2 linked regions of the Canis lupus familiaris genome follow. The protein of the gene in region 1 binds, or shares a complex with, the protein of each later gene. Links are inferred from orthologs where the notes say so. Each region holds a gene or a part of one and is shown on either strand. Other genes may lie near its edges.

Evidence for each region.
Region 2: the proteins of ITGAM (region 1) and PTN are in contact, whole or in part, in an NMR structure (PDB 8VOH), measured with the Homo sapiens proteins. The link is inferred for Canis lupus familiaris from reciprocal best matches to the Homo sapiens genes ITGAM and PTN. Residues at the interface, in NP_000623.2 of Homo sapiens: Pro273, Asp276, Arg277, Gly279, Val280, Ile281, Arg282, Tyr283, Lys306, Pro307, Arg309, Asp310, His311, Ala334, Ile335, Glu336, Gly337, Thr338, Gln339; in NP_001308315.1 of Homo sapiens: Val56, Pro57, Thr58, Ser59, Asp61, Cys62, Gly63, Leu64, Thr66, Glu68, Thr79, Lys81, Thr82, Gln83, Arg84.

The regions. Positions count from the first base shown.
Region 1 is NC_049227.1:17,130,856-17,141,883, reverse strand, and holds part of ITGAM (integrin alpha-M), read left to right. Parts: intron 1-3,483; exon of another isoform or gene 3,484-4,177; intron 4,178-4,307; coding exon 4,308-4,438; intron 4,439-4,887; coding exon 4,888-5,033; intron 5,034-5,755; coding exon 5,756-5,909; intron 5,910-6,921; coding exon 6,922-7,072; intron 7,073-7,708; coding exon 7,709-7,782; intron 7,783-11,028.
Region 2 is NC_049237.1:10,946,748-10,957,875, reverse strand, and holds the start of PTN (pleiotrophin), read right to left. Parts: upstream 7,234-11,128; 5' UTR 7,057-7,233; intron 6,104-7,056; exon of another isoform or gene 6,029-6,103; intron 1-6,028.

The sequences.
Region 1 (11,028 bases):
AGGCAGACGCTCAACCGCTGAGCCACCCAAGCATCCCTGCTCTGTGCTCTCTCTCTCTCTTTTTTAAAGATTTATTTATTTATTTATTTATTTATTTATTTATGATAGACATATATATATATAGAGAGAGCAAGAGAGGCAAAGACACAGGTAGAGGGAGAAGCAGGCTCCATGCTGGGAGCCCGATGCGCAACTCGATCCTGGGACTCCAGGATCGCACCCTAGGCCAAAGGCAGGCGCTAAACCACTGAGCCACCCAGAGATTCCCCCCTTGCGCTCTTATATCTACTTCTGCTTAATAAATTGCCCTTAAACTTAGTAGCTAAACCCAATAAACATTAATTATATCACAGTTTCTGCAAATCAGGAATCTGGGGATGGCTTAGCTGGGTGCCTCTGCCTCAGGGTTTTTCACGAAATTGAAGTCAACTTGTTAAACTGGAGCTCATCCAAAGGCTTGACTGGGGAAAGATCCACTTCCAAGCTCACTTACAAGATTGTTGGACTGAGGGCCCCGGTTTTCACTGGCTGTTGGCTGGAGGTTTCTCTCAGTTGCTTTTCACATGGGGTTCCCTATAAAGCAGCTCACAACTGCTCCCCATAGAGCAGCTGGCCTCCCTTACAGTGAGTACATAAGGGAGTAGGAGAGCAAGAGAGAAAGAGAGAAAACAGCCAAAAAAGAAATCATAGTCTTCATAATCTAATCTCAGAAGTAATAGTACATTATTTCTGCCATCTTATGTTCGTTTGAAGTGAGTCAAAAATTCCATCTCACTTTCAAGAGAAGGTTACCGTGCAAGGGTGTTATATCCAGGAGGTGAGAATCTTGAAGACCATCTTGGTGGCTGCCTACCACATCCTTGTTCACCAAACATCTGTCGATTGAAAGAGAGTGAGTGAGCGAGTGACTGAATCTTTTCTCAAGCTGCTTTCTACCATTTATTTCTTCAACTGGTTGTCCATCTTTTTTGCTTGGCTTCAAGTTGGTTCTAGAACCAAGGGCTGATATGTCTTCCATTTATAGGTTTTTTTCCCCTTCAAGCTCTGCCCCTTTGTACTTTACTCTCAATGGATAACATTCCTTCCTTCTTCATAAAGAAAATCAAGGTTGCCAGGGATGAACTCCATCTACTTACTCCTCCTTGTTCAAATTTTTGCAACAGTACCACCCTTGGCAGTGTCTCACTGGTTTTAGAGGAAGACCTGAGTGTCCACCTTTCCATGAATCACTCTTCTATCTGGACTTTTGAGGCTTTATCACATCACCAACCTGAAGCCCACATCCTCAATCATTCATTCTCTCCAGGAGCTTAAATTTCTCCTTCCTCCTTTGCATGTAAACATGCTTACACTTACCCATATCTTAAAAGCAATCAACCACCAATATTGATAGCAATGAAAATAACCTTTCCTCTCCCTGGTCTCCTCTACATCTTATGCTGTTTCTCCTTTCCTTCATCATCAAACTTTTCAAAAGAGTTCTCTCTTCTTGTTTCCATTTCCCCCATATTACCATTCTTCACCCTCTGACATGTGTCTTCTCTCCAACCTCTTGCAAATGGCATTTGTGACTTCCTAAATGCCAAATCTCTGTTCTGTCCTCATGTTTACTGACTTTTCTGATGTGACTTACAGATCATCTCTTCCTTCTCCAAACACCTAGATTTCTCCCCTCCTCTCTCTTCCCCTCCCTTCCCCCCTTATTTCCTTCCTCTCCCTTCCCTTCCCTTCTTCTTGCTTCTCCTGCTGCCAAGGGCTTCTGGTAAACTTCATCTCCAGGCAGTCTCCCTCTGCCTTCCTTGCATGTGTAGGGGTACTAGGTTACGGCTTCTATTCTTGTCCAAGTGTTCTTCCAGGCCAATTGCATTCAGTTCTGTGGCTTCAGCTCTTAGCCCCTCTTTAGTGTTCACTCTCAGCATTCAATACTTTTCTTTTAAAAAACATTTTCCGTTCTTATATTCACAAATATATACATATTTATAGTCTTCACTTTGTGCCACAAATGATAGCGTGTTGTACACATTTGATTCTTTTCATTTAACCTATCTTTGAGATTTTCAAAGATTTCTCTGGTTAATTTTCTTTGTATATTTTCCATATAAATGTTAGAGTCTGCTTATCTGTTTTTAAAAAACTAATACTTTTTTGGGGGGGTAATTTTACTTTTTCAAAGATCATACAATAAAATTGGCCTTTATTCGTTTAGTGTACAATTCCATGAATTTTAAGATATGTATATAGATTTTCATTAAAAAAACCAACATGAACATGGGGTGCCTGGCTGGCTCAGTTGGAAGAGCATGTGACTCTTGATCTTCAGATTGTGAGTCCCAGCCCCACATTGGTTGTAGAGATTACTTAAAAATAAAACCTTATAAAAAATCCAACATGAACAGAATGCAATAGTTCTATTACTCCCCTAAAAAGTCCTTTATGCTATCTTTTTATAGTTAGTTGCCTTCTCCCCATCCATCCTAGTCCCTGGCACTTACTAATCTGTTCTTCATCACAATATAGTTTGTCCTTTCAAGAAGCTACATAAATGGAATTACAACCCTTTGAGATTGGCTTCTTTCACTAGTATGAGGTATTTGCAATTCATCTGTGTTGTTATGTATATCAGTAGTTCTTTCCTTTTTTATTGCTAAATAGTATTCCATTGCATAGATTTACTAGTCCCAGTCACAAGTTCATCTGATCACACATTGAAGGATGTTTGGGTTGTTTCCAATGTTTGGCAATCATGAATGGAGTGGCTAGAAACTTTTCATTGCTACAGCAATCTTTCTAAATACAGAAAACAATCATCTCACTTCCTTTTCTAAGAAAACTTCAGTGGCTATTCACTGCCTAAGGGATAAAGTCAAACTTCTTTTTTGGGATAGAGAGGTCCTTCCCAACTGTCCTTTGCTTAATGACATAGGCTCATCTCCATTCCCATCACACAGATTTATCCTAGTAGTGTCATTTCTGTCCCTCAATTCTGTGGAAGGATTTTAGGTTCATCTCCTTTGTATCAGTCAGGGTTTTGACTGGAATAAATGCTTCACCCCAGTTAGAATAATTTGAGAAGGATTTATTAACAAAGGGACTAATTTTATTTGATAGAGTCTTAGGGAGCCACAGTGGATGATCCAGGAATCCAGGGCAAGGAGCAGCAGAGCTGTTACCATTCTTAGGCTGATTGGACAAGGAGAGGGAAGAGTAACCAGAATTCAGAAAGAGAGAGAGTTCTCTGGAGTGTGCTTCCTTGAGAGGAGCAGTGATCTTCCATTGAGAGACACAGCTGGCCCAAAGCAACCTTCCAGGGCAGGAGTAAGAGGAAAATACTCTGATCATACTCTTCTACCTGTCTCTAATCTTCTGTTAAGGCTCCTAATTGGGCAAACCCAAGTAGAAACCAGAAGGCAAAGGAACCCAAAATACATGTGATCCATGTAGGCTGACTTGCTAGGCTGCAGATCAGATTGGAGGAGGGTAGAAGGTGGATTTGGGGCTGGGGACAGAAGGAAGGAGGACATCCAGTATATTGTTATATGTGCTATTCCTTTTTTTCCCATAATTTCTTTCTCCCTTTATATTTATGGCAAATTATTTCTCATTCTCAGAGTTAATTCTGATATCTCTACTTTTCCTGACTTCCTTGGGCAGAATTAACTAAAATTTTCTATTACTTCATCCATATTTCAAATAGTATTAAATAATCAAATTTATTAAACAAATTTAAAAAAGTATTATAAAATGTTTAACTTTCTTTAGACTCAAGGTTTATTTTGCTCCCAAATTTTGCATATAATTGAACTTTTAAATATACTAACACCTGCTGAATTGATTCCACTTTGGATTCTAAGGCATCAGTTTCTTCATGAAAATTTTTCTTTGTTTCTTCTAACATTTCTTGTGTTTATTCTTGTGACTGGCTAATGAAAACATCACCAATTTGATAAGGTATCATTAAGCAGTAGTCATCTATCTGCAAGCATGATGTCCTTAAAAGCATCTCTAAATTTTGTAGTTGTTTCTTTTTTACGACTATTTCTTCCTTCAGCTCTGTGATTCTACTTGTATTCCATGAAAATTTGTTTATCTTTTGTCGATCTTCAAAAGTAAAATTGGCATTTTCTGCAAATGTCTTCTGCATGGCAGCTGACATCTTGGGACTATGTCCATATTTTTATTAAACTTGGAACATGGGTTGCATATTATTTCCCTTTTATTTTTACTGCTTAGCAAAGAGCTAACATGCAAAAAATGAACCCCTGTCTCTGGTGCTTAATTAGTTCATGTTCTTTCTTTTGTTCCCAAAGAATGTCCTCGGCAGGACAGTGATATTGCTTTCTTGATTGATGGCTCTGGTAGCATCAACCCGACTGACTTTCAGCGGATGAAGGAGTTTGTCTCAACTGTGATGGATCAATTCAAGAATTCCAAAACCTTGGTGAGGGCAAATGGATGGGTTAGGAAATAGCTCATGCAAGGCTGGCAAATACAGGGCAACCAGGCAGGCTGCCACTTTCCCCTTTTACTTCTATCGCAGATGTTGCCAAATTGCCAATTGATCATGGTTTTCTTTCATGATTCTCTTTCCTGCTCTGGAATCAGCCTCAGCTTCTTCCAATGCTCTATGAAGCAGGCAGCTTTAACTAATTGATAAGGGTTGGAGTGGGAGATAAAATCCACATCTAATCTCTGGCTGAGTTCTAGTACTTAGAAATGGGAGCTGATGGCAGATCTCTGTCCTGGTGAGGCAAAAAGATTGGGGACAGTGTAGAATTTGGAGGGATTTGGAGACTGGAATGTTTCAATATTTATCTAGGGCCTCCTGGGAGATGGGTAAATGTGAGGAGGGTCATCTTCTCCAGTGTAATACCAGATGCCTGTTCCCAGTTTTCTTTGATGCAGTTCTCTGAAGACTTCCAAATTCATTTTACCTTCAATGAGTTCAAGAAAAATCCTAAGCCATCATTTCTGGTGAAGTCAATAAAACAGCTGTTGGGGAGGACACACACTGCCACAGGAATCCGCAAAGTAGTGTAAGCTCTTTGTTTAGGATGGGGAGGAGGTGATATTTTTTTGTTGGGATTTGAAGAATGCAGAGGGAACACAGACAGGGATGGGATAAAGGACATGAATAAAGGTGTGGAGGAGGGACTCTGCATGGTGTGCTCATGAAATATAAGTTGTAAGTAAAGGTAGGAGTGAAGGGGATATGTGAGGGTGAGGCTAGAGGGAGGCTACAGAGATCATTTGAGGCCAGGTCACTTAAGGCAACTGAAAAGCTAGTGGGGATTCACTGAATGTTTTAAGCAATGAGGAGATGTTACCATATCTTCTTTTGGAACTTCAGTCTGATGTGTGTGTGTGTGTGTGTGTGTGTGTGTGTGTGTAGAGGTGAGGGTGAGGGTTGGGACAAAAGTGCAGGAGCATGAGCTAGAGAGCTGTAGCATCAAACCAGGAAAGGTTTGCAAGGGTTCAATTAAGCTTAAAGATTTGTTTTAATTTAAAAGGAATAATAGTTAAGAAAAATAAATCAATGCAAAAGTATTTAAAGGCAGTGAAGATTTCCTTTCCTTCCACTCTTCTCCCTTCTTCTGTGTCTTTCTGGGTCTTGTGGTAGCCACATCTCAGTGTTCATTCCAGGGGATCCCAAACCCCTCCTGGCTGCATCAGTCTGTGACTCTTGACATTTCCTCCCTAGCATTAAGATGATCTCTGTCTATTCACATTTGACTTTTCTTTCCTCTTCCCTGGACAGAAGAGAACTGTTTCACAGCAGCAGTGGAGCCCGGGAGAATGCCCTTAAGATCCTAGTTGTCATTACAGATGGAGAAAAGTATGGTGATCCCTTGGATTACAAGGATGTCATCCCTGAAGCAGACAGAGAGGGGATCATTCGCTATGTCATTGGGGTAGGAAATGTGGCTCTCTGGGCTGATGCTTCTGTAGAGGGTTTCTGTTTGGATACACCCTCCCTTCACTTTGCAAATATCCCTAAAACCAGGGTGGGCAAAGGGCCACCGCCAGCCCATATGGGCCTATATCAGGCAACTGCTGTTACAATGATGCTATGTAACAGATTATTTCAGAATTCAGTCTTTAAAACAATAAATGAGTCTGTAGTACATCTGGGCAATTTTTCTGGTTTTGACTGGCTCACTCTTATATCTGTAATCATTTGAAGGTTGGTTGGCAGCTCTGGTAATCTTGGCTGAACTCTCTCCATTTCTGAGGGTTGCCAGTTGTGTCTGTTTGCTGGACCGGAATGGCGGGAATAACTGGGGTAACTTGGCTCTTCGGATCCCTGTGTCATCCTCCAATGGGCTAGCCTGGGCATGTCTTCATGGTGAAGGCAGAGGAACAAAAGAGCAAATGGAAATGTTGCAAGTACTTTTTAAAGCCTCTGTCTGCATCGTGTATGATAACATCTACTAATCAATGGATATTAGCAAGACACATGGCTGCACCCAGAGACATAAGCAGGGCAGATTACTCTGCCATGAGTAAGAGGATACAGCAAAGTTTTGGAGGAAAGGGCTTGGATTTAGGAAGGGGTAAAGAGTTGGGATCATCAGTGTAATCCAACTCCCACAGTACCTTATATGACATAGAAAAAGATATCATCATGGGTGCATGACTTGGTAGGTAGGAAACCCCTTCATATAGAGGAAAAGGCTCCCTTTACGCTGGGGAGAGGTCAGACCCACATCAGGAGGCATGGCACAGCAAAGGAACCAAAGGCTGGACTTCAGCTCCTAATTACTCCCTTGACAGACTGCTCTGTGCCCTATCCCAGAGGCCTTCTGGTGTATTCCCTCATTTGACAAATATTGTTTCAGATTCTTTTCCTGCAGAATTTTCTTTGCTGGGTGACACTGCTACCCCCTGATGGTGTCTAATTTGGCTTCTATTCTTTGGTAACAGGTGGGAGATGCTTTCAACCATCTAAAAAATCGTGAAGAGCTTAACATCATTGCATCCAAGCCTCCTCGTGATCATGTGTTCCGGGTGAATAACTTTGAAGCTCTAAAGACCATTCAAAACCAGCTTCAGGAAAAGATCTTTGCAATTGAGGGTAAGTAAGTTAAGGTTCTGCATTCCTGCAGCAGGTCCAGAGGCAGCCCTGAATATGGATTTCTCCTCTAGAGACTAGAACCTCCTAACTCTTGGTATCCTGATTCTCAGCATCAACTCAACTCTCTCCTCTTCTAGTTCTCAGCAAATTTGGTCTCACTTGGTCATTCCCTTTGAAATCAAAAGATCTAGACTTTATTTTTACTTTGCAAACCTTGGCTATAGGCTGGAAAATTGGAGGGTAGGGGAGTCGGGCCTCACACAGTTTATTTCCAAGAATTTGGGTATGTTGCCAATGTTTGACTGTTGGATTCACTGCTGTATCTCCAGTGTCTAGAATAGTGCCTGGTACATTGTGGGTGCTCAATGAATATTTACTGATTACAATAATTTAAAAACTGAGGGGAGTTTCATATACAATCTGGATTTATGATTTCTCTTAAAAAATTGGAAGATTAGACTGCATTCCTATCTGGCAAAAAGCAGTTGGAGCCAAATAGCTACCAACTCTTTAAAAGAGGTATATGCTTTCTAATTCAACATAGCTCCCACCTGAGCCTCCTTTTGTTTGGTCATCATAGTACTTGAGTTCCAGCTCTTCCACTTTCTTTAATGTAGAAAGCTCTCCTCCTTACAGGTACTCAGACAGGAAGTAGCAGCTCCTTTGAACATGAGATGTCTCAGGAAGGCTTCAGTGCTGCCATCACTTCAGTAAGTGGTCCTTCATTAAATTGGGATTGGGTGAGAGGAAGTGGGAGAAGAGGTGTAAGGGTTTGGGGGCTCTTATTTGCAATGGGGACTTGTTGGGGAGCACTCCTTTGATGGGGAGCAGTGGTCCCTTTTCCCTATTAATTATGTTTTTTTCTTGATATATAATGGATATATGAATGATACTTCAGGTATACACCATAATGATTTGCTGTATGCATATATTGTGAAATGATCACCACAATAAGTCTAATCAATATTCATTACCACATATGTTACAAAATTTATTTTTCTTGTGATGAAAACTTTAGGATTTCTTTTCTTTTTTTAAGTTAAAAAATTTAAAAAATTATTTAAATTCGATTTAGTTAACATATATTGTATTATTAGTTTCAGGGGCAGAATTTAGTGATTCCTGGTTACATATAACACCCAGTGCTCATGACATCAAGTGCCCTACTTAATACCCATCATATAATTACCGCTTCGCCCCACCTACCTCTGCTTCAGCAACCCTCAGTTTGTTTCCTAGAGTTCAGTGTCTCATATGCTTTGCCTCTCTCTGTTTTCATTTTATTTTATTTTTCCTTCCCCTGAATTCATCTGTTTTGTTTCTTAAATCCCACATATGAGTGAAATCTTATGGTATTTGTCTTTCTCTGACTGACTTATTTTGCTTAGCATAATACCCTTTACTTCCATCCATGTCATTGCAAATGGCAAGATTTCATTCTTTTTGATAGCTGAGTCATATTCCATCATATATATTTAAATACACTACCTTCTTTATCCATTCATCTGTTGGTGGACATCTGGGCTCTTTTCATAATGCCAAGTGATGTTGAGCATTTTTTTTTTAATGTACCTGTTAGCCATCTGGGTGTCTTTTAAAAAGTGTCTATTCATGTCTTCTGCCTGTTTCTTGACTAGATTTTTTGTTTTTGTTTTTTGGTATTGAGCTTGGTTAAGTTCTTTATATATATTGGATACTAGCCCTTTATCTGATTAGACATTTGCAAATATCTTCTCCCATTCTGTAGATTGCTTTTTAGTTTTGTTGGCTGTTTCCTTTGCTGTGTGCAAAAGCTTTTCATTTTGATGAAGCCCCAATAGTTTATCTTTGCTTTTGTTTCTCTTGCCTTTGGAAACGTCTCTAGCAAGAAGTTGTGGCTAAGGTCAAAAGAGGTTGCTGTGTGTTCTCCTCTAGGATTTTGATGGATTTGTGTTTCACATTTAGGTCTTTCATCTATTTTTGAGTTTATCTTTGTGTATGGTGTAAGAAAAAGACTTAGTTTCATTCTTCTGCATGTGGCTGTCCAGTTTTCTCAACACCATTTGTCAAGGAGACTCTTCTTTTCCATTGGATATTCTTTCCTGTTTTGTCAAAGATTAGTTGACCATAGAGTCGAGGATTCATTTCTGAGTTCTCTCTTCTGTTCCATTGATCTATGTGTCTATTTTTGTGCTAGTACCCTACTGTCTTGATGATTACGGCTTTGTAATACAGCTTGAAGTCCAGATTGTATTGTCTCCAGCTGCAGTTTCTTTTTCAACATTCCTTTTGCTATTTGGGATCTTTTTTGGTTCCATACAAATTTTAGGATCATTTGTTCCAGCTCTATGAAAAATGCTGATGGTAGTTTGATAGGGATTGTGTTGAAGACGTAGATTGCTTTGGGTAGCATAGACATTTTTTTAAAAAATATTTATTTATTTATTCATGAGACACACACAGAGAGGGGGGGCGCAGAGGCAGAAGCAGGCTCCATGCAGGGAGCCTGACATGGGACTGGATCCTGGGTTTCCAGGATCCCACCCTGGGCTGAAGGTGGTGCTAAACTGCTGGGCCACCGGGGCTGCCTGCATAGACATTTTAACAATATTTCTTTTTCCAATTCAGGAGCATGGAATGTTTTTCCATTTCTATGTGCCTTCCTCAATTTCTTTCATAATTTTCTATAGTTTTCAGAGTACAGAGCCTTTCTTTACCTCTTAGGTTAGGTTTATTCCTAGGTATCTTACGGTTTTTGGTGGAATTGTAAAGGGGATTGATTCCTTGATTTCTCTTTCTTCTACCTCATTGTTAGTCTACAGAAATGCAAACGACTGCTGTGCATTGATTTTACATCTTGTGACTTTACTGAATTCCTGTGTCAGTTCTAGCACTTTTTGGTGGAGTCTTTTGGGTTTTCTACATAGAGTATTATGTTGTCTGTGAAGAGTGGAAGTTTGACTTCTTTGCTGATTTGGATGCCTTTTATTTCTTTATGTTGTCTGATTGCTGAGGCTATGACTTCCAGTACTGTGTTGAACAACAGTGATGAGAGTGGACATCCCTGTCGTGTTCCTCACCTTAGGGGAAAAATTCTGTTTTTCCCTGTTGAGGAAGATATTTTCTATGGGTCTTTCACATATACTCTTATGATGCTCAGGTATATTCCCTCTATCTCTACATGGTGGAGAGTTTTTATCAGGAAAGAATGCTGTATTTTTTCAAATACTTTTTCTGTATCAGTTGAGAGGATCATACGGTTTTTATCTTTTCTTTTGTTAATGTGATGTATTACATTGTTTGATTTATGGATGTTGAAGCACCCTTGTAGGGTGGTTGGTCGTGGTGAATAATCCTTTTAATGTACTGTTGGGTCATATTGGCTAGTTTCCTGGTGAGAATTTTGGCATCCATGTTCATCAGAGATACTGGTCTGTAATTCTCCTTTTTTGGTGGAATCTTTGTCTGGCTTGGGGATCAATGATGGCCTCATAGAATGAGTTTGGAAGTTTTCCTTCCATTTCTACATTTTGAAATAGTTTCAGAAGAATAGGTGCTAATTCTTCTTTAAATGTTTGGTAGAATTTTACTGGGCGGTCATTCAGCCCTGGACTCTTGCTTGTTGGGAGAGTTTTGATTACTGCTTCAATTTCTTTGCTGGTTATGGATCTGTTCGGTTTTCTATTTCTTCCTGTTTCAGTTTAGGTAGTTTATATGTTTTAGTCTTTTTTTTAAATTTTTTTTTTCATTTATTTATGATAGTCACAGAGAGAGAGAGAGAGAGGCAGAGACATAGGCAGAGGGAGAAGCAGGCTCCATGCACCGGGAGCCCGACGTGGGACTCGATCCCGGGTCTCCAGGATCGCGCCCCGGGCCAAAGGCAGGCGCCAAACCGCTGCGCCACCCAGGGATCCCTGTTTATATGTTTTTAGAAATGCATCCATTTCTTCCAGATTGCCTGACTTGTTGGCGTATAA
Region 2 (11,128 bases), on another chromosome or scaffold:
GAGAAGAAAATACATGAACTGGGAATTTAAAACCTTTGTTTCGGTACTTGCATGGCACTTAACTCATCTTAACTCCTCAAAGCTTAACTGCATCAATTTTTTAAAAACCCTGCTCAGCCTAAGTATAAAATTATATATATATATATATATACATATATATATATATATAAATGTAGAAAGTTCTGAAAAGTACATATTCTAGTGCCACGTTGGAGCTATGGTGAAGAAGAAGGCTTCAAGTGATCAGTCTTGTAGCTTTGACTTTCATGGTCTGTTAAAGAAGAGGTAAGTCAGATTTCTCTATTAGGGAGGTAGTCATGAGTCGGAGACCATGCAACATTTGGGCATAAAGTGGATGAGGGAGTCTATGATTAGAAGATACTCCAGAGAACTGGCAGGCTTAGGTGGCCTCTGGAACGAGAGATGGAGAGGCTTCTTATAGAGGTTGGAAGCTACGAATGGGGGCGCTCAGATTTAAATAGGAAATTGGCACCAGGTGATGTTTAGAGGGATCATGTATAGAGGACAGACCATCAAGGTCTTTGGAGCATGAGAGGCAGAAAAAATGGTTTTCAAAGTCATTTCTCTTTTACTTATTTGCCAGACATTATTGGTCATTTTCAATGATCTGGTGCCAGATATTCTAGGGTCCTTGAGATGAAGGAGGGAGTCCCTGCCTTTAAGGGTACACGGTGTGGGGGGGTTGAGCTCGTGACAATGGTGAGTAATTATGATTGGGAAAAGATGAGCTCTTCCAGGGTCAACCCTGCTACAGAAAGCAAGAGTTAAAGGTCACTTGGAAGGGTTGATGTAGAGGTGGAGAAAAGAGCAGGGCAGAATGAGAGCTCCACCTAGAGGGCAGATTTGCCTGGGAAACCCTCCTTGGGTGCCTCCCACTCCCTTACAGTTTCCTACAAATTCCACAGAGGACATTAGAGGATTTGCTTTCTTCTCCTCCATGCATAGATTTCCCCTGAAGGGCAGTCATCTCACTCCCACTATAAATTTTCCTGAAATTTTCTACGGCGATGTGTCAAATCTTTCAAATTATATTTACTCTAAATAACTCCGAGTAAATTCTAAGATGTCACTTGCAGTCACTTCCTGTCTGCTGTATTGCATGGCTGATGTGAAATGAAGGCACGAAGGAATCAAGAGTTCAATTTCTCTTCCAGATAAATGGCACTAGAGTAACCAAAACACAGTGATAAGTTTGAAATACATATTATCACCTTCTCCATTTAGCCTTTTGAGTTAAACTCCTTTTCTCATAAAAAAAATTTTTAAATCACTTTGTCGCTTTGTATGTACTTTGTATGTACACATCTTACTCATACAATCACTTTGTATGTACACATCTTACTCTAACTTGTAGTAATTTTAATGGTATTCACACAAACACCGAGTAGCCCAAAAGCTATGTGAAGGCCTATTTTTGTAACCCCTATCACACTACCTGATATATAATGGGGTAGTCAATATGTGCAGAAGTCTGTTAGGGTTAAGAACAAAGTAACAAAAAGTCTTTTATTTCAATCTCCTTCCCCAACTAGGATTGTGCTCCCCTTAAGTATTCATTAAAAAAAAAATTAAGAATGTGACACCAAAACTCAATAGAGAATGGAGAGATTTGCAAGTTCTCTCATGAAAATTGAAGTAGAAACTCAAAGTCAAGATTAATACTGAAGCATCTGGGTGGGGGGGAGTGGAAAAGTAGGGGGTGAGACTTGAATATTTGGAAATAAATATCCACATTTGGAAGTTGAAGGGAAAAGATGCAAAAAAAAAATACTGAGAAGTGTCCAAGGAAGTTGGAAAAAAATTAATATGTCAAGGAGGTTACAGTAAAATATAACCAGATAATCGGAAGAAGGCAGTGTTGGCAAGCAAGGTTGCTGCATGCTAAGGAAAAGGAAGCCGTTTGTTTGATGACATGACCTGTGACTTAAAATGTGTTTTTTTCCAGAGATAGGAAGGGAGTATAAATGGATTTTCATTGACATCTCTTTTAAATGAATTTGTAATAAAGGATTTCACAAGTTAGCACCATTTCCATATACAAATGGAACTGTAAAACTGTAAGCCTTGGAGAAAAGAAACTATGTGTTGTATTTCTTGAGTATATTACATTAGGCATCTAGCATATATAATAAAAATTATTTATTATGGTTAAATTGACTTGCCAAAGGAGCAAGAAACATTTGCATTGTTAAGGCAGGACCTGGGAAGATGGAAGTGAGTAATCCAGGCTTCGCTAAAGAAACAATGAAGCCAAGCCTCTCCTAGTGACAAAAGCATGAAATGATCCTAACTAGGGTCTTTCTTAGTCAAAAGGGAAATAACCCAGGGTAGTCGATAGAGTGCACATTGGCCTGAAAAACAGATTTGAGTGAACCGGATCAGAAATATGTGAAATTTTCAGCTACAAAGGCCCAGCCTTCCATGCATCTCACATATGGGCAACGCTTCCAGATACACAGTTACAGGAACGTGTATTCACCGTCACAGATATGGCAAAGGAATTGGGCAAGACATCATGGGATTTGTTAAATGGGAAATGATGGCACTGGATGAATGGAAGGGAGCAATGAGAGCCAGAGGAAGGGGACAGGGAAGTGTTACAGTTGGAAGAAGTGGAAACAAAGGGTTAAGAATACAGCAGGCCATTTTTTAAGTGACATTTTGGGTTGTACTAAGCACAGTTCTTAGAATTAAGAGCGCGGTGTCAGTTACTATCACTCACCTCTTTCAAGATTCATATACAACAATTGACTTTTTTTTTCCTAAGGATGATGTTTAGGACTCTAAGAATTCTGTTGTTAGAAAATACATGATGGTGATTTTTTTTTAAATGTCACTTTACCCCCCCCCCAAAAAAAAAGAAAAAAGAAAAGAAAAAAGAAAAATAAATAAATGTCACTTTACCTAAATCCACTGTGAAGAAATGGCTAAAAAACAAATCCCAGTAGAAGAAATTAAATTTTATTTCTCAAACTACCTCAAGCATCAACTATTCACTGTCTTCCTTGCCTACCCTTAAGAACTAGGGATTTGCGGTGAATGTGATCTACATAATCAAATCCACAATGTTAACATAAATATAATGCCCTCTGAAAATGTTCCATTATAGCTACTCTTTTACACCGCAGACATTTTAACTTTTTTTTTAACCAAATACTAAACCAGGGCGGAACAAAAGCCCTGTTATATTTGACAACCTAAGAAAGATTGTATGACACTGAGAACCCTGCCACATACAAGACTGGCAAGAAGTGCATGGAAAAATGGCTCGATGGATGGAAAGTGGAATTGGCCTTAAACATCAGTAATGAAGAACAGCTTTCCAAAGGCAGGCTGTGGCCCAAATCCCACTCAGGCCAGTTGGCTCTGGACGGAAAAGAGCCGACCCAGCTCATAAAGAGAAGATCCATATCTGAATATTACTTTACCACAGAGCGATGGCATGGCATCGTGCCAAGAAGAGACAAAAGTTCTTCTGATTATTCATTAGAATGGCAGCCTTAACCTTTTGAAGAAGTCCCATTCAGCATCCAAGCAGTGAACAGCACAGTTGGAGAGCCCTGACTCCCCCGGGGCTCCTTACACTAGACTTCAGCGCACTCAGGTGTAGACCATGCTTGCGCTCTGGTCACCCTGGGCACTCTCAATGTGAACAGTACCTTCAGGAGAGAAGTAAGGACAACTCTCCATATCCCTATGCCACCATACTAAAAGCATAAATGGAGGGACACCTGGGTGGCTCAGAGATTGGGCATCTGCCTTTGGCTCAGGTCGTGACCTGGGGGGTTCTGGGATCCAGTCCCACATGGGGCTCCCCGCAGGGAGCCTGCTTCTCCTTCTGCCTGCATCTCTGCATCTCTCCCTGTGTCTCTTATGAATAATAAAAAAAAAAATCTTAAAAAAAAAAAACCATAGTGGAGAACTTTAAGGTGTGTTCCAACTTCTGGGCCTACATTAGCCATTAGGTAACCACATTTTGAGTAAGCCAACTAAACTCAGTCTCCTGAGAAAATTTTGAAGAGTGATTAAAAAAAAAAAAAAAACCCCACAGATCAGAAAACGGGATCAGAATCCATGGGGAGAGATCACTTAAATGAGAAAACAAGAGTATCTTCAAAGGGGGGAAAAAAGCATTTATAGCTAAAACAGTTCATTTCTAAGATTGATTTTATTGATAAAAGCAATTAAACTATTTGGGGACCTTATTTCTTTCAGGATATTTCCAATGATCAAGTTTCATGGATATTCAAACAAGGCCACTGATTTTAATAGTTACAAAGAAAAATGCCTAAAAAAAATGTGCATCCTGCTACATATTGCTATATGTAAAGACCAAATAAGGTGCATTGAAGCTCTCAATAAATTTGCAAATTTATTACAACAAATATAGGAAACCACAGAACTATGTATTATTATATAATATGTACATATGTTACTCTATATACTATTAAATTTTTCTCATCTCCTGTAATACCTCATTTAAACATCAGGTAATACAAGTTATCTACTAATGGGACATTAACTGGGCATTAGCACAGCTCTGGCTTGTGTAAATACAACGCGGGGCACCTGTGTGGCACCACTGGTTAAGCAACCCCACTTGGTTTCAGTTCGGGTCCTGATCTCAGGATCCTGGGAACAAGCCCTGCACAGTACTCCATGCTCAGCGCAGAATCTGCTTATGACTCTCTCTCTCCCCTCCCTCTGACCCTTGCTCTAATAAATAAATCTTAAAAAAAAAAAAAGAAAAAAAAAAGAAAAAAATACAATGCAGTTGTATCCACAAGTGACCAGCTGAAATAGAGCACCCACTGTAAGCCTACTGTAAGGCTTCAGGTGGGCATCCCTCACTGGTTTCACTCATGGGAAGAAAACTGTCCTAAAGGAAGGGGGCCCTCCTCCCTCCCTCCTCCTTGCCCCCCTCACCACCTGGGTGAAGAAAAGATTCCCAGGGGGAGAAAAGATCACCTTCGGAAGATGTAAAGCACAGTTGGAGAACTCACAGCACAAGTTTCTTAAAGCACAGAATAATAGCCATAGGGTGTTTGGGTTTTTTGTTTGTTTTGTTTTTGTTTTTGTTTTTGAATAAAATTTTAAAAAGTCTCATCCTCTGGTTTCAATGAGGAAGTATCACCGATCTAACATCTAACGTATCTCACATCTCAAAAGGGGAAAGGAGCTAACACCCACTCTAATTTCCTCTGAATGTAACTGGACTTTGTAAGTAATGTAAAGTGATTTTTTTTTAACGATTTGGCCCCTAAGGTGAATAATTTATTTAAAAAGGCACCTAATGAAGATGGAAAATCCATGCTTGGTCTTCTGGGCTGGGAGACACTTCTTTTGTTTCACTACCACTACCCGGGAGGATCTCCACGTATCCATCATCCCCAGTGACCCAGGGGGCCAAGTGGGCTTTCCTGTTTCACCAACTTGACGTTGGCCTGGGATCCTGAAATTGCTTCATGAGGGGTTTGGGGCGGGGGATCCCAAAGCTCTTCTTGGCCGGCCCTCGGTCTCCTCCCAGGTCCGCCGCTCCAACACGCACAGGCACACGCGCGCGCACACACGCACACGCACACACCACCTGCCTCAAGCTGCTCAAGCAACGAGCTATCGAGGTGAAAGGGGAAGAGGGGAACGTCCCCGCCGCCCCCACGGTCCGCTCCTCCTCTCCCCGGAGCCACCGCAGCCTCTAGTTTTCCAGGGCATCCCCACGCACTGGCGGGGCGGCCGCGGTTGGCCTAGGTCACGGGGGCTCACCGCGCAGAAACCAGGTGTGTGTGTGTGTGTGTGTGTGTGTGTGTGTGTGTTAAGGGGCATGATGTGCGTCCTCCAAGAGGAAGCGTTCTATTTTGTAGGACAAGTAGGGAAGCAGTCGAATGCATTCCGTGCTTTAAAAAAAAAAAAGAAAAGAAAGAAAGAAAAAGAAAAAAGGTCAACCTATGAAAAACCTCAACTCCGACTGGGCATCCGGCAAATTAGCGGTGAACATTCCACCCCCTACCTTCAGGCGCGGGAGCCCCGAAGTTCGAGCGCGGGCGGCCCTCAAAGTCGGCGTTCGAAGCGCAGACGGGCTTAAGGTGCGCCTTTTAAACTTCGGTTGCGGCCACCTGCCTGCAGAGCCGTTCCGGGGCCGGCGGGCAGCCCGGGGAGCGCTTCTCCACGTCGACCCCTACATCCCCCCTGGCCCCCGGCCCGCACCCACAAGGGCCAGCGCGGTGGGCGCAGCCCGCAAGCCCAGGAGAGAGGACGGGGGGCTGCCCCCGGGGCGCCCCCCACCCCGCGCAGCCCCAGACGCCCCTCCGCCCCGGGCAGCGCAAGGTGCAGATGCTCGCGGGCCGGAACAAAAGCCGCCCCCACCCACCGCCTCCCGGCACCCTGACCCCCCCGGACCGCCACCCTGCACCCCACGCCCCGCGATGCCTCCGCCGGCCCCGGGGCGCCCCCCACCCCGCGCAGCCCCAGACACCCCTCCGCCCCGGGCAGCGCAAGGTGTAGATGCTCGCGGGCCGGGACAAAAGCCGCCCCCACCTACCGCTTCCCGGCACCCTGAGCCCCCCCCCTCCGCACCACCACCCTGCACCCCACGCCTGGCTGATGCCTCCGCCGGCCCCAGGGCGCCCCCCACCCCGCGCAGCCCCAGACACCCCTCCGCCCGGGGCAACGCAAGGTGTAGATGCTCGCGGGCCAGGACAAAAGCCGCCCCCACCCACCGCCTCCGGGCACCCTGACCCCTCCGGACCGCCACCCTGCACCCCACGCCCGGCTGATGCCTCCGCCGGCCCCGGGGCGCCCCCCACCCCGCGCAGCCCCAGACACCCCTCCGCCCCGGGCAGCGCAAGGTGTAGATGCTCGCGGGCCGGGACAAAAGCCGCCCCCACCCACCGCCTCCCGGCACCCTGACCCCCCCCGACCGCCACCCTGCACCCCACGCCCGGCTGATGCCTCCGCCGGCCCCGGGGCGCAGGAGCTTCGGAGGCACCCCCGCCCCCGCCCCCGCCCGGGTCGCCCACTCCGCCGCCGGCCACTTACTCGGCGTCGCGCGCTCGGGCCGCCTGGGTTGCGCGGGGCGAGGCCGGGCGCTCGGTGGGCTGCCGGGGGCCGCGCCCGCTCGGCCGCTGCTGCGCTCGGCGGCTCCCTGCGGGGCTGGGGGGACGGCCAGGCGGGGACCCCGAGCCGCCTCGGCCTCCGCTGCGCGCCGCCGGGAGGGAGCGGAAGGCGACTGGGGAAAGGGAGGGGGCGCGGCGGGCAGGGCGCGGACGCGGAGGCCGAGGGAGGGAGCGCGCCCGGGGCTCGCGAGCTGATTGGGAAGCTCGTTCCAGCCCCGAGCCGCCGGGGCCCCCGGACCAACCACCGCTCCCCGTGGGGCGGGGACGCACACCGCGTTCCCTTTGCAAACTTTATGCCCGAGCCGTGCTGCTCTAGGTGCGCGCACCCCACGGCTTGAGAGGCAGGAGCGCCCAAATGCACAGCTGATAGCAATTTAGGAGACACTTGGAGCCCCAGACTTATTTTTTTTTTTTAAGCTATATTTGAGATGAAAAAACCCCGTCTTCCAAGGCAGCGTCTCCTCCCCTCTCCCCACCCCGCGCGCGCGAGCACCCGCCCCTGCCCCTGCACCCTGCTCCACGGACATCAGCTGTCAGCCGCGTCCCACCTGCGCCATCGCAAGTGTGCGAAGTCCTCCCTGGCGCTGGTCACCAAGAGTGACAGATGTCTGAAGGTTACCAATTAAATGCCATTTCGCTTTAGGGAGCTCTTTACACTTTTTTTTTTTTTTTTTTTTTTTTTTTTTTTTTTGCCTTTAGTGACCTTTAGTGACATGCCTTCTTTGACACCCAAGAGTTGAGAGGCTTAATCAGTGTGGCTCCAACTCTGGTCCTTGGTACAACTGAGGCTGGGCGGCGTGGCGTTCGGGATTCCCATTATGTTTCATTGAGAACCGATGCTAAGGCAGTCAACACATGGAGGGGTGTTTGGATGACATATGGATGGATATCTATGACACCAAGGACATAAAAGTATTGCATAAAATAATAGTGACGTATAAGACGACTTTCCCCAAACATATCAAAAAGCACATTCTGAGATTTTTTTTTTCTGCTCCTCATCAGAGTTCTTGCCGGCCTCGAGTCTTCCTCTTTTTACTTTTCAGTTTCTCATTCCATGGCATCCACAAATGGTCGCAAAATATACTTCCATTTCCACTTCCTAAGGTTACGTTCCTTCTCTTCAGTTTGATAAATATCTATTATGTGCCTTATATAACTCTTAAAATTTACATCTGCTTAGAACCCTACCCCAACCTCCACCACCCCCCCCCCCACCACCACCACCAATTAGAAGCATTGTTTTGTGGCAGGTAGTTCTGAGAACTCTGGGCTTGTATATTGAGTGCTACCTGGACAAATGTCCCATGAAAGTGCCAGCCAGGGACAAAGAGGTGTCTCTACAAGTAGACCTTTTAATCAATCAAGCAACCTTTTTTTTTTTTTTTCCAAAAGAGGAGGCATCCGAAATTCCCTTAGGAAACTCCAGTCTATCTCTGTACCCAAACTCTTCATCCACCTGCCACATACCATCCTAAAGCAGAAATAAAGGAACAAGGAGCTGTCTCCCCTCCACACACAGACTTCATGTTGCCTCTTTCCCTCTTGTGATTCCATTTTCCCAGTGATGAAGCTATGTTTGCTTTAGTGTGATTTTACCCATTAAGCTGCAGAGGAATGCACATTGTTCTTTATTATTTTTATTTTGCCAAGGCTCTTTCCTGAGACTTCTCAACAGTCACCGTTACTCCTGAAGCATAGTTGCTAGGCCTTTTAACAAGGAGTTACCCATTTTCTATTTCTTCCTAAATTTTATCTTAACATTTACAAGTGTCACATGTTGCTACCAGTTATTACGATGCTTATCGACAGGGTTGATGACATAAGCATGAGATCCCCATGATTTCCACTCCATTGCATGTATCATATCAAAAATATACTTTATCCAAGTAGGAATATGTGAGCATTATTTATATCAGTGGTCCTCAACCAGGAGCAGTGTCACCCTCCAGGTGACATTCGACAACGTCTAAGACATTTTTGGTTGTCACAGCTTCGGGAGGCGTTTGCCACTGGCACCTGCTAAGTAGAGGCCGAAGATGCTGCTAATCATCCTATGATGCACAGAACAGCCCCCACAACAAAAAAAATTATTTGTCCCAAAATGTTAATAGTGCTGTGATTATGAAACCCTATATTATTAACTATTGTATTTTTAAATATAATGGAAGGAGTGCCTGGGTGACTTAGTTGGTTAGGGATCTGCCTTAGGCCCAGGTCATGATCCCAGGGTCCTGGGAATGAGCCCCCCATCAGGCTTCCTGCTCAGCTGAGAGCCTGCTTCACCCTCTTCTGCTGCTGCTCCCCCTGCTTGTGCTCTCTCTCTCTCTCTGTCTGTCAAATAAATAAACAAAATCTTTAATACATACATATGATAATTAAGGAGGTTTTCTTAAGGAATGGCAATCTCTGAGGTTGAGACTATTCATAATTTACTTCACCCCAGCATTTACACTAAAATTCAAGTAGAAGATATTTTGAACTGTACTCCAAAGTGTTCACCTCCAAATCCAACCTTCATTCTGCTGCCTCATCACAGGCGTGCTGATTCAAGATTTCAATTCATTCTGTTCATTTAGCTGACATTCTTTGAAGACTCAAGTTTTTGAGTGAATAGAGCCATGAACAAAAACAGATGAAAATTCCTACTGCGCTACAGCTTAAATTTTTTATTACATAAATAAACTTAATTAACCAATTAATTAAATTTTAAAAAGATGTGAGGATTGCCATGGGTAAAAATAAATAAATAAAATAAAGACAATGAAGGAAGATAAAGTCACCAATTCAGGGGAGGAAAATCTCCCTGGGTGAAATTTGAGTGAAAACATTGCAGAATTGAGGGAGTTGGCCAAGTAAATATTTTGGAAGATACTCACCAGGTAAAGGAGTCAGTCAGTGCAAAGGGCCTGAGGTCTGATCTTGCCCCAGGTGTTAGAGGACCGGAAGGAAGCCACTGTGGCGGGAACTCAGTGAGCGGAGATAGGCATCTAGGCTAGGCAAGTAATGGGCCAGATCATGCATGGCCTTTGTCTAATGTTAGGAATTCTACTTTTGCTCTAAATGAGGTGGGAAGCCATTAAGAGTGACAAATTCTGACTGATTTACTATGGCCTCTCTGTGTTGAATAGACCACGGGTGGTCAAGGATGGAAGCAGAGGTCCCAGATAGGATGCTACTGTAGTAATCCACTATCCAAACTTCTTCACCCTGTGTCTTGGGAAAAATAACTAACTGCAAACACCCATTCACACTTTCTCTGCACCCAGACATCGCCCCCCCCCCCCCCCCCCCCCCCGTGTTTGCTCTGGCTTGCTGATGCTCACCCTCCCTGCTACTGGCCAGCCTCTGCATGAGAGCTACCAGGCTAAAATATAACCAATGTAAGACGATCTGAAACCATAGAAATTATAACATGTCCTAAGGGTGATCTGAAAATGAGGCCACTGATTTTGCAGTGACAAATACAGGAAGTGTGATCAGCATGGAGCAAAAAAATGTGAAGGAACTGGATGAAAAATTTGTCAGGTGTCTCTCGGATTACCTACTTGGCAGGGTGTTTAGGTTCTTGATTACCATTCCGAGTGCTGCAATCTCCCTAGAATGGAGAAAAAGAACGATCCATCAGGCTCATGCAGTTTGATGGGAGTCCCGGTAATATACTTCTCTTTCTCTCTCTGAAATATTCCAAAGGTAATAAAACTTTATTTTTTGGTTAACTGTAATGAAATTACAAAACTTCTGTATCAATATTTTTGATAATGCCCATGCTACTTGATTAGAAAAAAACACACACACAGAAAACTCAACTAAAATGGCTTACATATTTTGGGATTTTATCTCAATAAGACTGGTTGGTAAAAAAAAAAAAAAAAAAAAAAACAAAGACTGGTTGGTAAAGTCAGTGTTTTGAAGTCTTCAAGGACCCAGGTGTTTTCATCTTTTGAATCTGCATCTTCAATCCATGAGCTAAGGGTTTTCAGTGTGGTTGTGAA